Danio rerio: one gene and its partners. The protein of the gene in region 2 interacts with the protein of the main gene of each other region in a biochemical or structural test. Links are inferred from orthologs where the notes say so. Each region holds a gene or a part of one and is shown on either strand. Other genes may lie near its edges.

Evidence for each region.
Region 1: the proteins of siah1 (region 2) and sncaip form a complex in vitro, tested with the Homo sapiens proteins (2 studies listed by BioGRID, with this or other methods). The link is inferred for Danio rerio from reciprocal best matches to the Homo sapiens genes SIAH1 and SNCAIP.
Region 3: the proteins of siah1 (region 2) and pou2af1 form a complex in vitro, tested with the Homo sapiens proteins (2 studies listed by BioGRID). The link is inferred for Danio rerio from reciprocal best matches to the Homo sapiens genes SIAH1 and POU2AF1.

The regions. Positions count from the first base shown.
Region 1 is NC_133183.1:459,091-464,403, forward strand, and holds the start of sncaip (synphilin-1), read left to right. Parts: upstream 1-1,841; 5' UTR 1,842-1,857; coding exon 1,858-1,914; intron 1,915-2,549; coding exon 2,550-2,613; intron 2,614-4,859; coding exon 4,860-5,090; intron 5,091-5,313. UniProt on the Homo sapiens protein: Isoform 2 inhibits the ubiquitin ligase activity of SIAH1 and inhibits proteasomal degradation of target proteins. Isoform 2 inhibits autoubiquitination and proteasomal degradation of SIAH1, and thereby increases cellular levels of SIAH.
Region 2 is NC_133193.1:19,824,810-19,828,409, reverse strand, and holds the start of siah1 (E3 ubiquitin-protein ligase Siah1), read right to left. Parts: upstream 2,245-3,600; 5' UTR 2,079-2,244; intron 1-2,078. UniProt on the Homo sapiens protein: E3 ubiquitin-protein ligase that mediates ubiquitination and subsequent proteasomal degradation of target proteins.
Region 3 is NC_133190.1:20,245,458-20,250,770, reverse strand, and holds the start of pou2af1 (POU domain class 2-associating factor 1), read left to right. Parts: upstream 1-1,819; 5' UTR 1,820-2,219; coding exon 2,220-2,229; intron 2,230-5,313. UniProt on the Homo sapiens protein: Transcriptional coactivator that specifically associates with either POU2F1/OCT1 or POU2F2/OCT2. It boosts the POU2F1/OCT1 mediated promoter activity and to a lesser extent, that of POU2F2/OCT2. It recognizes the POU domains of POU2F1/OCT1 and POU2F2/OCT2.

The DNA of each region.
Region 1 (5,313 bases), on a different chromosome or scaffold from region 2:
ACGCAAAGCAACCGGGAATAAAAGGTCTGTTCTGGCCGCTAGGATCAGCGATCATCATCAAATGTGATTAAGAGTAAGTTTCACATGTTTAAAGTGTTTTAAAACAGAGTATGTGTGTAATTAATTACAGCGTTTTACTTCAGCTTTACTGCATCAGCACAGCCGCGTGTCAGAACAATTATAAAAGAAGAAGCTTCAATCCCGGTTTGTGGAAGTTAAATCAGGTTTATTTTGTACATTAGCATAACAGATATCCACACAGTACTGGAGGTTAGCCTGTATCCTGACACACTTGAGTGCATAAACAGTGCTAAGAGCGCTCTATCTGCCTGCCTGCCTGCGTGTGTGTGTGTGTGTGTCAGCTGCGGTGTGCGTGTGTATCTCTGTGTGTGTGTGTGTGCGCGCATGAACTTTGTAATGATATTGTGTGTGACTCATCAATGCAACTTCACAACAAATTCTGATTAGTAAGGGTTAGTTCTTACTGTAGTATCTCACAAACGCTTCGTGAGACCTGCTTCCTTTAAGTCTGTCTGTTGTCTGACGCAGCCGAGGGAGGAGATTAAAGCATGTGGGAAGGCACGTAGAAACAGTAGGCGGGCAGAACTCGGCTTAAAGGCGCAGTACAACAAAACCACCCCCTGCTGGAAATGTGTATAAAACAGCATCTTGTAAAAGGTATAATGAAAAATCTGATGGGTATTTTGAGCTGAAACTTTATATACACATTCTAGAGACGCAAAAGACTTATATTAAATCTGAAAAAAGGGGAGGAGACCGACAGAAACTCTGAGTTTAGAGAATAAAACCTGCTCCTGACCAGGTTAGATTCACATTGTAAGTGACCACAGTAACTGACTCTGAGTTGAAGTTACCTTTCTTTCAGAAACAGGCTTGACTTACCCTGCATTCTCCAGTTTAACAAACCTGCCACTCTGAAACGGAAAACCCAGAGTTTCTCTCATTTCAGGGTTAAAATACTCGGAGTTTTCACTTAACCTCCTTTCTGAAACAGGCCCCTGGAATCCAGCTTAAGACCTTTGGTGTAGATTGTGTCAGCAGCTGAACACAGAAGATTATAGTAAACTCAAACAGTGTTCAGAGTTAAAGTTCAGTGTGGTTTAATCCTCACTGCTGAGAGTCCAAACTGAAGATCAAATCCATCCATGCACAGCTCCACAAGACCCAAACCAAGCAGGAGGAGTGGAGGAACACACTTCACCAACTGACCAAAGTGAAGGAGAGAAACTTTGAGAGAAACCAGGCTCAGTTGGGCACGACCATTTCTCCTCTGGCCAGACTTCTTGTGCAGAGCTGCAGTCTAGGCGCCGGAGGCTGGAGAGCGCTGGACATCCATCGTGGAGAAGCTGCAGGTGGGAGAGGTCACCGGCTAGTGTTCAGGCCGGCCCTTCAGGATCAATGCGGACACTCGTCTGTCACTGAGGTCTTTCAGGAATCAGTCTCATGCTCTCCACTCCTCCATGACCACCACAGCAGCAGCTCAGGATACGGCCTGGTCCAGGATTATGGAGACCTCTAGAAGTGCTCTGTGGTTGGCATCATCACTTGATGAAGATGAACTTTAAATCTGAAGCATTTAGCTGTAGCAAAACATACTAAATTTACTCTATACCAACATCATGTTTTTATTTCAATAAGTTTATATAGTCTTTTGTAACCACGCCCACTTTCACGTCCACTGTCCAATCCGATGTGGGTTGAGCTGAAGCCCCGCCGCATGGCTCAGAATGATGTCACACTGATGCAGCAGTTGCAGTTTGTGTAATGATAAAGTGTGGATCAGTTATTGATTGTCGATTGGTAATAATCTGGTGTTTTTCAGCATGCTGACTGAAGATGGACGTTCCTGAATATCTGGATCTGGATGAGATTGACTTCACTGATGATTTACCTGTGAGTACTTATGAAATATGCAGATTATATTTAAAAATGGCAGATGCACAGTTGAGTAGATTTGCATCCCATAATCCAAATCATGTTCATTATACTGTAACTGCTAATTATTATTATCAGGTTATTATTATTATTATTATAAAGCAGATTTCATGTACTCGTGGTTATTTACATGGTCAGCGATTATTTACTATTTTCCATCAGCAGCTGTTTTAAAAATCGAAAATACTTTAATGCTTTTAGTCACATCATTATATTTACATATTCATGATTATCTGTTAAAGCTCAACAAAAACATATATTTAATATTTGGGTTAGTGTTTTTGCTTTGATTTTGCTTATTTCATATTGGATTGAATACATATTAGGACGTTTTATTTATCGTAAATTTAGAGTTTTCATTTTTAGTATATATTTTATTTTGATTATTTCAAGCTATTATTGTTTACTATTATATAATTAAAGTTTTATCAATAAATTATTAGCTTTCCGTCAATCCCTGAAACCCTGATCTAGATAAACTGCTTTGTTTGACTTGTTAAAGTGTACTGTAAATGTTTACATGTGCAGTGCTGAAGTTAAACTGATAGCAGTGTTTCCTAATGTGTGTGTGTGTGTGTGTGTGTGTTGTACAGTACTCATCTAAGAGCATTCCTGAACTGTGCCGGAGACATGATGGACAGAACGACGAGAGACAAGGTACTGCGCTCATTCACACACTTGTTTATAGTTTCACCAGCAGATGGCGCTCTGCTTTACAGACAGCCCTATTAAAGGGCCATGAAACCCTCTTGTTTCAGCAGGGTGTTTTCACACCTCTACTTTGGAAAAAGTCAGAAAAGTGGGCGTGTCCAGCTCTGTTTAGGGGGGAGTGTCGGAGGAAGAAAAGAGGCTTGGTGTGGGAGTGTCTATTTGGGCACGCGCAAGTTTCAGAGTCAAAACACACACCCAACAGGGGAGAAAGGGACTGTTTACATGGACGTCTGTAGTCGAATTATTTGACAAATGATTAAATGGTGGACTTTAACTGCAGTTTGGCTCTTTCATTCAGGGAATTCATTCATGCCCCTCGCGACAAACGAGATATTTGATTCGAGGAGCTGCTCTAAGCGTGTATTTTCAGGCAATGTTTGATACCACACGGCGAATGACAGAAAAAAACCTTCAGCATTTCCCGGAAACTTAAATGCACTCGGCAGGTAGTGTCAGAAAGCCGCGTGTGTTATTCCGGTCACTAAATCCTACATGAGGTTATAGTTTGGTTGTAAAGCTAACTTGTTTACACTCGGTGCAATAGTTTGTTCGATATGAATAAAATACGAAATGAATAAACAAAGAGCACTGGTCGCTCACTTACCAAATCTGTAGAGACAGGACAATCACCAGCAACTAGAGCCGCGTCTTTATTAAGAGGAGACTACAAGCGAATCCGGATCTCAGCATTTGCAGATCAGAACAGCTCTCAGGTAAACAATAATCCTCCTTAGACACGTAAGTTATTGTTGTCGAGCGTCGCGTACACTGTTAATCCACACGTGACTCCAGCTGCGCTCTCACAGAGAGAAAATGAAAACAAAACTTCACTGCAGCAAACTATAAAAGCAACACTTCACGCTTGTTTTGCCAACACAACGTGGCGTCTCTGTCGTCTGTGACAGTAATGAATATTAATGAAGCTGCACAATAGAGCGCGCTGATTGGTTTGAACCAAGCTTTACTCATGCATTAATGCAGCACACTGTAAGACGTAATAAGACACACTCTGGCACAGACGTCCAGTCTGCACGCTGGAATACACGCTATTATGTCATGACCGTGATGCAGCTTCAAAAATTAGTTTCAAACAGGAAGTACGAATTTGCTTAAAATAACGCAAAAACATCCAATTTACACTTTTTAGTGAGATATAGGTGTCCTAATAGTGTTTTTAGCAGTGTGGGACACATATACCACTGTCAACAGCTTAAACACATGTGTTTTGGTGTTTCGTGACCCTTTAAAAACTAGCCTTGAGCGCTATCTGCTGTTTAAAACTAGCTTACAGCACTATTAAAAACTAGCCTTGCGCTTCATCTGCTGCCCCCTATCTTCTGAGGTGGTAATAAATATATAAATGTTGCGCACACGGCAATAGACCTATATAAATATGAGCGTAATGACAACACAAATAAGTGCAACACAGTCTAACAACCATATAATTTCAATGTCATTTATTAATTTGATTTATTATTAACTTCACCTAAGGAGACTAGTGGGTAGAGGTCTGCATTCTTCTCTACTAGTGACTAGAGGTACAGCAGCTGCAAGTCGGCAGCTGTCCCATATAAGACTCTGGACAGTGTTCGTGTTTCTGCTGTGCCACAGAGCACCATATGTTACATATTAGATAACGTGAATGTGCACACGGGAGCAGGACTGAAAAATCAGCCCCGTGCAGACCTCTGCTAGTGGGAACAATGTTTTCAGCACACGTCTGTTCTTGGTTTATTTTAAAGACCGCCACTCGATGATCATCCTCAATGTTCAGTTGTGGCCTGTATTTATTTGTATGTATTTGATTTGCCATCAAGCTGTCAGAAAGTTTAACCTGCTGCTATAAAATCAACATGCTGCAGCTGACGCTATTGCTGAGTTATTAATCTGACGTGTAAACACTAATCCTATGAAATGTACAGGCTGATGGCTTTTTATTTGCGTGTTGTTGTTTTTTTTATATGTAACTATTAACAACTGTTGTTATCTTCTGTTTGTTTTGGATAAAATATAGTCATTCGAATAGTTTCATAAAATTTATTTAACTTTTGGAAATCCCCAAGCAACCCCCTGTCGTTGTCTCGTGACCCTCACTTTGGTAATCACTGGCCTAGAGTGCCTTCTGATGTTAAAAACTAGCCAAGAAAACCCTCTAATCCATTCTTGATTTTCTCTGTTCTGTGTGTTTTCAGCTCTGGCCATTAACTGGCCTCGTAGTGCGGCGTCTCACAGCGGTGCAGGACTCAAACCCACCGGTATCGCAGACGTCTACAGTAAATTCCGTCCTGTTAAACGCGTCTCTCCACTCAAACACCAGCCGGAGGAGACGCAGACACAGACGGAGACTGAAGGGAAGAGCTCAGAGACGGACACACCAAGCGGGAAAGAGGAGCCCAGCAAGAGCAGAGGCCTCATCAACCAGGGTCAGCAGTCAGCTTTATTTCAATATTAGTATTATTATTATTTAGATAATAATCATATAAATAATAATGACAATATAATACTACTACTAATAATAATAATATAAATAATATTGAATTATGACAATATAATAATAATAATAATAAAATAAAATAATAATATTAAGTTATGACAATATAATAATAATAATATGATTAATATTATTTATGGCATGACAATATAATA
Region 2 (3,600 bases):
TATATATATATATATATATATATATATATATATATATATATATATATATATATATATATATAATAGTTAAAGACATATTTAAGTCATTCTGTGCTTGTAAGCATAAAAAGATCCCGCCAGAGAGCCTACATTTGTATATGAAGAGCTTATAAACAATAATAACAAAAAACGTTGTGAAGAATGCTTCCAAACATAATATGTATACAGTTCATTCTCCTCACACCTCACAAATGAAGGTGAAGGATTGCATTACCAAGCACCTGGACAAGGATGAAACCAAAAAAAAAAAAAATGTGTTTAACCTCATGACATTTCTAACATTCAGCAGTTCTTTTTAAAAATAAGCTTTTCTAAAAACCTGGATTTATTTTGAACAATTTCATGCAAATGTTAACCTTGCCATTAAAAATGAATTATGTTTTCACCAAAGTAGTGAACCCCTTTCTATGTTTGTGTAGGCCTGTATTTTACTGCATAGTAAAAAACACATTAAAAATCTTTCTGTCAATGTTTTTCAACAATTATATTTGATTAACCAAAGTCACACAAGTGCTAATTTCACATCCATCACATCCATAATTGAGAAATGTCATATTCATAACGAAGCTCTTTCTTCATAAATGCAAAAATGTAAAATAAAATCAATAATTTTTGTTCTACATTAAGCCAACTCTTCTCCTTGTGATTAGCATTGTTTCTTTGGGGTTGTGCCGTTTCATTCACAGAATTTCTATAAAGAATGTTGTATACTGTAAACTTGCAGACTTCTTTAGTCAGATCCAAAACGTATGTTTATTTAGCTCATTTAAATTTTTTTTTAATTACAGATTGATATTTTTTGCTCCCATATCTCAGTGGTGAGCTGTTTTGGAAAATATAAACAGATGTTTCGATATAATGTTAACATATACTTTCTATGTAAATTTAAGTTTTAAGATATTACTGCAAAAGTCACATCCACGAAATTGCATCATTTATGCATCAAAACATCTTCACAACAAGATTACCTTTAGTACAACAGGGTTAGTTACAGAAGGGATTTGACCCTATCCTATCTAGCTATTGCTTCAACCACCTGCAACTTAACCTCGTTTACTGTAATTGATAGGGGAGGTGCTAAAACGGATCCTTAAGGATAAAGAACAACAAAAACAGTACCGTCTAATTGAGTCGCAACAACGATGTAAGCATAGGATCTCCATGGCGAATTGCAGCCGCTTTGTAAACAAATCGGAGTGGTGATCGAGCAGCCAAGTTCAAGGCGTCTGCGAGCACGAAAGCTTAAAATAAATCCCATGTGTAGCATTCACGACATTAAGCTCCTTTAGGTGTCACATGCACAAGCACATCTGATGATTTTACTGTAACATGCTCGATCTGATCGTGTCGACCCTACACACAGTGTCGGCTGATGGTTAGCCTTAACGTTATGCATGTTTTTCTTTTGGGCTGACTTCTAAATCAACACCACCATATGTTATATTGACCATAACCAGTGATAAAATGTTTTCTGTAGCACATGTTGGTATCGGTCTCTGTGTTCAAGTTAACTTTTATAATGTGAGGCTGCTTTTGCACCGCAAACTAATACAGTTTCTGTCAGTCAAGCCATCTCTGTATGGCTAGAAACAGTCAAAAATGATCCGTTGACAATAAACGAGGTCTTAATCTTAGGACTGAAATATAAACAGAAATAACACGTCTGCACACATACGCTAATTACGATTGGAAAACACTGCACTGGTTGCATTACATTTGATTTCGTCACATAAACAGTGTTTCTCACTTAGCACAAGCATATAAAGCTAGCAAAGGCAGGCTAATAATGGCTACATGGACCATATATCGGCGTTTAAAATATTTAAAAAGCATTTTGTTACTGGATAAGAACCACACAGCGAATCACATTGTGTTAAAGAAAAAAATGAACTCACAAGATGTGTTTTGCTGAGGAATGCAGTAAAATTGTTGATAGCATGGTCGGCTAGCCGCTTTTTAAGCTAGCTAGCTCGCTAAGCCTAGTAAAATCAACAACAGATCCATTATCCTCGAGTGGAGGATTTAAACATTGCACTTACCTCCAGAAAATATCCCTCTGCTGCCAAACGAATTAATTGTAAAAAATAATTCACCACACGTCGGGCAGCGTTAGGTTATATGTCCGTTAATCGTTTGGTTGTTTGTGTTTCCACATTCGCTAAAAAGAGACGCTGCTGTCGCCCGGCAGTCTCGGTGTCGCGCACTGACTGAAGCTGTTGAAATATATTTTCACGGGAACGGCGCTGCAAGGATACGCGAACGCGCTTCAGACACATGAACGCGGGAAGGAGAACAACGTTGGGCCAACAACACACAGATGGAAGAAGTACTGTCCTCAGATTAGGAGTTATAAGAATATAATATTTTATTTAGACAAATTAGCACTTTGGTATAAAACAAAAATTGAATAAAACTGGATAAAAATAAACTACATATCATAGGATTTTAAAACAATAAATAAAAAACTGAAATATGATTTTAACAAGTGATCTAAATTTAATAAAACAATTAATTAACAGTAGATTAAAAAAACAAATGCAAGTTGTAGCTTAAAACAAATGATAAAAAATATAGAAAAAGTAAAAATGCAATAAATAAATGTTATTACATTATTGAAAATGTAATAAAGTTGCTCAATATAAATTTACAACGTTCCAAGATTTTTCCCATATAAATTGGGTATTTATATATTATATTTCTACATAAAGTATTATTAACATTTGATTATTGCAAGGCATCACGATGGCACGATCACCTCACAGCAAGAAGGTTGCTGTTTCGAGTATAGGCTGGGTCAGTTGGCATTTCTGTGTTGAGTTTGTATGTTCTCCCCATGATCGAGTGGGTTTACTACGGGTGCTCCAGTTTCCCCACAAGTCCAAAGACATGCGGTATAGGTGAATTGGGAAAACTGGATAAGTTGGCAGTTAATTCCGCTGTGGTGGTGACCCCAGATTAATAAAGGGAATAAGCTGAAAACAAGATGAATGAATGATTATTGGAAACACTATTTAGATAATAAAAAAAAAATTAAATTTGTATCTCACCAACACTGACTCATGTGTTAATAAAAAGAAAACAAATAATAATAATAATACATTTGTTACTGTTGTGTTAATCAGCTTTTAAAGATAGTCATTTTTCTATAAAATGGTTGTACTATTAGCTCAATGATTGGATCTCAAACACCGAAGTCGAATATGATTAAAAGACATGATTCAATAAGGCAGCTGTAGTTCGACAATGCTGAAAGATCTGATGCAGCTGGTTCAGTTTTTAATATTTTCTTGAATATGTGTTCTTGAAAAAAGCAAAAGTGGATGTTTTAGTTATGTAACCTGAAAAGTGGAGGTTGCATAGAGAGGAAACTATCTAACTTGAGCAGCCAGTAGGTGGGGGAAATGAACTGGATTCATATGGATTGTGTAATGCTAGTATAAACCCACCTTAGCACTTGCGTTATAAGGGTGTGTCTGTGATTAAAAGGCGGTCTGTTATGCAAAAATCACTTTTTATGTGTTTGTTGCTGACCCTCTTTTGAAAAGGGAACCATCTCATTTG
Region 3 (5,313 bases), on a different chromosome or scaffold from region 2:
AAATGTCCATAGAGGTGGTTGTAAAGAGATAAACAACACTTGAGGTCAGGTCAAGACCTTATTCCCTTAACTGACGGTTATTGCTAATAAAAATAACTTGACACTTTTGCCCACAGACAAACGCTTCATGCAGTAAAAAGCAAGCAAAAAGATACAAAAAGAAAGGAAGGGAATAGAAAAGAAAAAAAGAAAAAAAAGAAAAGAAAAGAAAAAAGTTTCTCTCGTATCCACCGAGGCCTACTGACAACTGCTTCTTTGCATTGAGAACGTACAGTAGTTTGCATTAGAGAATCCTGTTGTCATTAACCATAAGCATCTCATTCACAATGCATTCTCAATTTGAAGGAAGATCTGTCTTCTCACACAAGGCCAAAGTAAGTATTATTTTTAACTTTGTCTTTTTCCCCTAAATAATAAGCCTTTTCCGGAGGCTGTTTTAAATATGAATGAGTGTATGAGAAAAAAAAAAGAAATCCCACTTGTCAACATGTGCTGCATTGAACTAATTACATGACAGAACTTTACAAGCAGATGTATTTAGTTATTTGTTATAAAAAGCTGTTCCTTGTTTTTGTTGCTGAGCTGTGTGATTGTTTGTGTAATAATTGAGTGAAGTGAGTTGAGAAAAGGAACATGATGAGCTCGAGTGGTCAGTGAAGCTCAAAGTGTGTGCAGGTGTTTCCTTTAAACACTAATAAATCAACTAGCGCCGCAGTTTCAGATGCTTACAGCACTTCTCAGCAGCCTAATTTTAAACTCAGATTTGAACAACAGCATCCTAGAAAGGAACTACATGTACTTACTGTAGCAATGTTTATATAAATTATACATTTACTGTTGTAAATTTCATGAAATTTGTAACTGAGAGTATACCAATAGAGATGCAGTATCAGTTTTTAAAAAGAAAAATCCATTGTTAAAATAAATGTCAGATAAATGAAAAATTATTTAAATCATGTGTCAATAGTCAAATCAATAAGACAAGTACAATTTGTGCTTAGTTATATTTAAAAACTGTTAAATAAACTAAAAAGAGTCTAAAAAGTATCAAATAAAATTGTAAAAGTACACATAAAAAGTCTAACAAAAATACAATCAAAGTAAATGTAGTTTTTAATTGCTTAAGCAATATACAATATTAGCACAAGTAAAAAAATGAACACTAATAAAATATAATGCAAATAAACGAAAAACTAAATAAAATAATAAAAAATAGTGTTAAATTATAAATGTTATAAAATAACATTATAATTATAATTATATATACATATATAATTATAAAAAATGTATGAAAATCAAAATAAATTAATTTAGCATTTAAATAAATAATTAAATTAAATGTAAAAAAATAAAACAAAATTGTTTTTAAAATAATCATTTTAATCATTTAATTTAATAATTATGATTTTATAAGAGATTTTAAATAAAATTAACATAAAACAAAATTAACAAAATCAATGTAATTTATTTGATAAAATGAGTTCATATGAATAAAAATAAATTAATAAAAAATTAAATGAAAATCAAAATGAACCAATTTTGGGTTTAAATAAATAAATAAATGAAATATAACAAAAAAAAATTAAAACAAAATTTTGTTAACAATTAGAATTTTAATAAATTAATTTAATAATTATTATTTTATTAGAGATTTTAAATAAACTAAATATAAATACAATTAACAAAATCAATTTAATGAATTTAATTTAAATAAATGAAATTAAATTAATTAAACATTTTTAGAAAATCTAAATGAATCAATTTGTTGTTTAAATAAATAATTAAATGAAATAAAAATATATGAAAACAACATTTAAATAAAATATAATGAATTCATTAAAAAAAAGAAAAAAATTATATATAAAAAAAAACGTTTTGATGCAATTTGGTCAATTCATTACTGAACATCACAAAAAAAAAAAAAAAAAAAACAGAATCAACCATTTGTTTGCTGCAGACTGTATGAAGAGGTATTGACCACTTAAGACGCTCATGTTTCACTTGATTTTAGAGAATCAACTTGTAACTTTCCAAAAAGTGCCAAGCTGAAACTTAAAATTCTTCTAGTGGTACAAAATTAGTGCGGCTTCTTCCTTTTGCGGTGACATCACTTGAAACTGTTGCTTTTATAAGGCAGCCCACTGAAGCAATTATCAGATGATCTCAGGAAGAAAAAAGAAAAGACTTTTGACCAGATATTAAACATTGTTGCATATCAGATGGGAAAATGTAAGTACAATTTCTAGATAAATAAACTATAGATTTACACATTTGACGTGTATTTTGATGCTGTATGCAAGATTCGTATTTATCGTAGGATAAATAATTAATGTACTGCAAAATGTACTGCAAAAGCTTGATGCATCATTTTTTTTTTTTAATTCAATTCAGAACAGGTGATTTATTCCACATTGATCATTGCAGTTTTGCAAGGCTATCTGTTCTGTAAAGTGACACGATTAATTTGCCTTTTACATTCAGACCGATATTTGCATGTTTGCAAGATGCAATAGTGGTTTATAATACCTCTTTGCCAGCTGTATTATACAGGTACCTCAGTTTTTACATTAAAAGTGTAAAGTAGCTGCTGCCATCAAGACAAGCACAGTAAGACTGAATGACTCTTGAATAGAGGCCTGTTATTTGGCCATTTGACCATAAAACCTCTAAATGATTTTTATTATTATTTTTTTTGTCGTCTGGCTTAAAAACCAATATTCAAAAATAATGAAGTATGATGTTATACTGTGTGATATTTATGAGATTTTATCAGAAACATCAGCTTAAAGCATACAGTTGAAGTCAAAATTAATAGCCCCTTTTGATTTTTTTTTTCTAAATGTTTCCCAAATTATGTTTAACAGGGCAAGATATTTTCACAGTATGTCTGATAATATTTTTTTTCTTCAGGATAAAGTCTTATTTGTTTTATTTTGGCAAGAATAATAGCAGTTTTAATTAAAAAAATAAATAAATAAAATTTCAATAGTCTAGCAAACTATCATTATACAATAACTTGTCTAATTACTCTAACCTGCCTAGTTAACCTTATTAACCTTTAAGCCTTTAAATGTCACTTTAAGCTGTATATAAGTGTCTTGAAAAATATCTAGTCAAATAATATACTGTCATCATGACAAAAAAAATAATTCAGTTATTAAAAATGAGTTATTAAAACTATTATGTCCAAAAAATCTGTTGAAAAAAAATCTGTTGAACAGAATTTGGGTGAACAATAATAATGGGCTAATAATTTTGACTTCAACTGTATATAAGTACACACCTCACAAATCTTTTTAATTCATATTTTTGATTGGAAGCTATACAATATTATATTTGTGCATATACATTAGATTAGTCAGGACTGAAGCCAAATCTGGAGCTTATCTCACAAAAAAAAAAAAACTTATGATAACAGTCTAAAAACCAGAACAGCCATATTTATGTTATATAAAAATATTAAATACAAATTTAAAAAAGAGGAGGAAAAATTGACATTTTGGTTGTAATTTTTTTTGCAATATATTTTTTTATTTAATTGTATTATCTTTCAATTTCTAAATATGTTTGGTGACTAAAATATTTTAATAAATATATACGTTTAATAAATCTATTTTGTTTAAATGCACCAAAATAAATTGCTCATATTTACTGAGAAATAGATAAAAATATTCATTGTCAAAATGGGGTGTACTCAATTATGCTGAACACCGGATAACATTATACCATTAATATGTAATCATAAGTAAAATATTATCAATGATAAGTATTCTACTTAAATAATAATAAGTATAAAATAAAATCATTTCAGGTAACTGGCAAGATATTGTATATTTTTCATTTTTTTATTTAGTTGATGAAGTATTAAATAAAAGTGTATTTTTATGTAATAATAATAATAATAATAATAATAATAATAATTATTATTATTATTATTATTATTATTATTGTTGTTATTGTTTTATTTTTATATTTACTTTATAAATAAATTTACATTTAATTAATTTATATAATAATAATAATTTATTTTATATTCTATTTATTTTACAAATATTTATTTTATTTATTACATTTCAACAACAGCTTAAGAATCATAGTTATAATAAAGTAACACTGGGGATTTAACAGACTACTATTATGTAATGGCGTGAGAATAACATATTTAAAATATAAAAGCAAACATTAATAAAACATAATATTATTAATGAATATTATACTGATATCATTATTTCAGAATATAATATTTAAAAACCCTTTTCCCTAGTAACTACTATAAAATATTTAAAATATAAAAAACATTTACGAGAATAAAACATAATGTTCTTATGTAATATTATACTGATATTATCATTATTTAAATATACTGTTAAAACATAACATTTAAATCTCTTTTCCTGCTATTGCCAAATCAGTACAAGTAGTAGAAAAAATACCAAAATAACACTGATTTTAAAAGATTTCAATTCAAAGCTTAAAGGATAAGATAAATAAAGATTACTGGAGTATGTTGAAGTATTTGAGTATGTTATATTTTTAACATTAAAATGTCATTAATATTCACACTAAACACACTATGTTCAATAAATCATGTCATGCGTGGCATTTCTTTGGACATTCTGCTTGAACTCGTGAGGTCAAGTGCACAGGATTCAAGAGTAAGAGTTATTACTGCTGATAGAACTCTCTGGAAATTTGAGAGCCATTTCAGAAAGCAGGCGGACTGTGGAGTGGCTTAAACTCGATATGCAAAACTGTTGAATTGCCCTCCTTCTGAAAGAAAAGCCTTTACAGCTGCGCAGCTTCCTCTTTCTGGGCTTTTTAAAGCGTGCTGTGCTTGAATTGCACAACTGCACAGGCCTCTTTACAATCATCTTTACATATTAGAGCACGACTTCTCAGTTCTCAGCAAATGCCCAAAACTCTGTTTGATTCTGTTGGAAATGCACCAATTGTATCTGTTCTGTGAGAGCATTTGCTGAAAGGATTGTTTTATTGTTTGCATTGTGACATTAATTAAAGATAAAAGGCCTGACGGGTTGTTTTGTTAGCGTTATAGAGGGTTACAGGTGGTTAGTAGTCGGCCTGTTCTAACAGAGACTGTGAACGTGTGATGAATGATGCAGAACAGGTTCATTACTGATTCATTATTTGGTGATTAAACATTGAGACTTTAGCCTTAAGAAGTAACAGTTGTGCATTAACGGGGTGTGGAGGTGTATGAGACTTTTATACAAACAACGTTCAGAAAAGACTTAAGGCGATATCATATTTTCACATTAAACATCACATTGAAGCATGAGTGACTCACTGAGC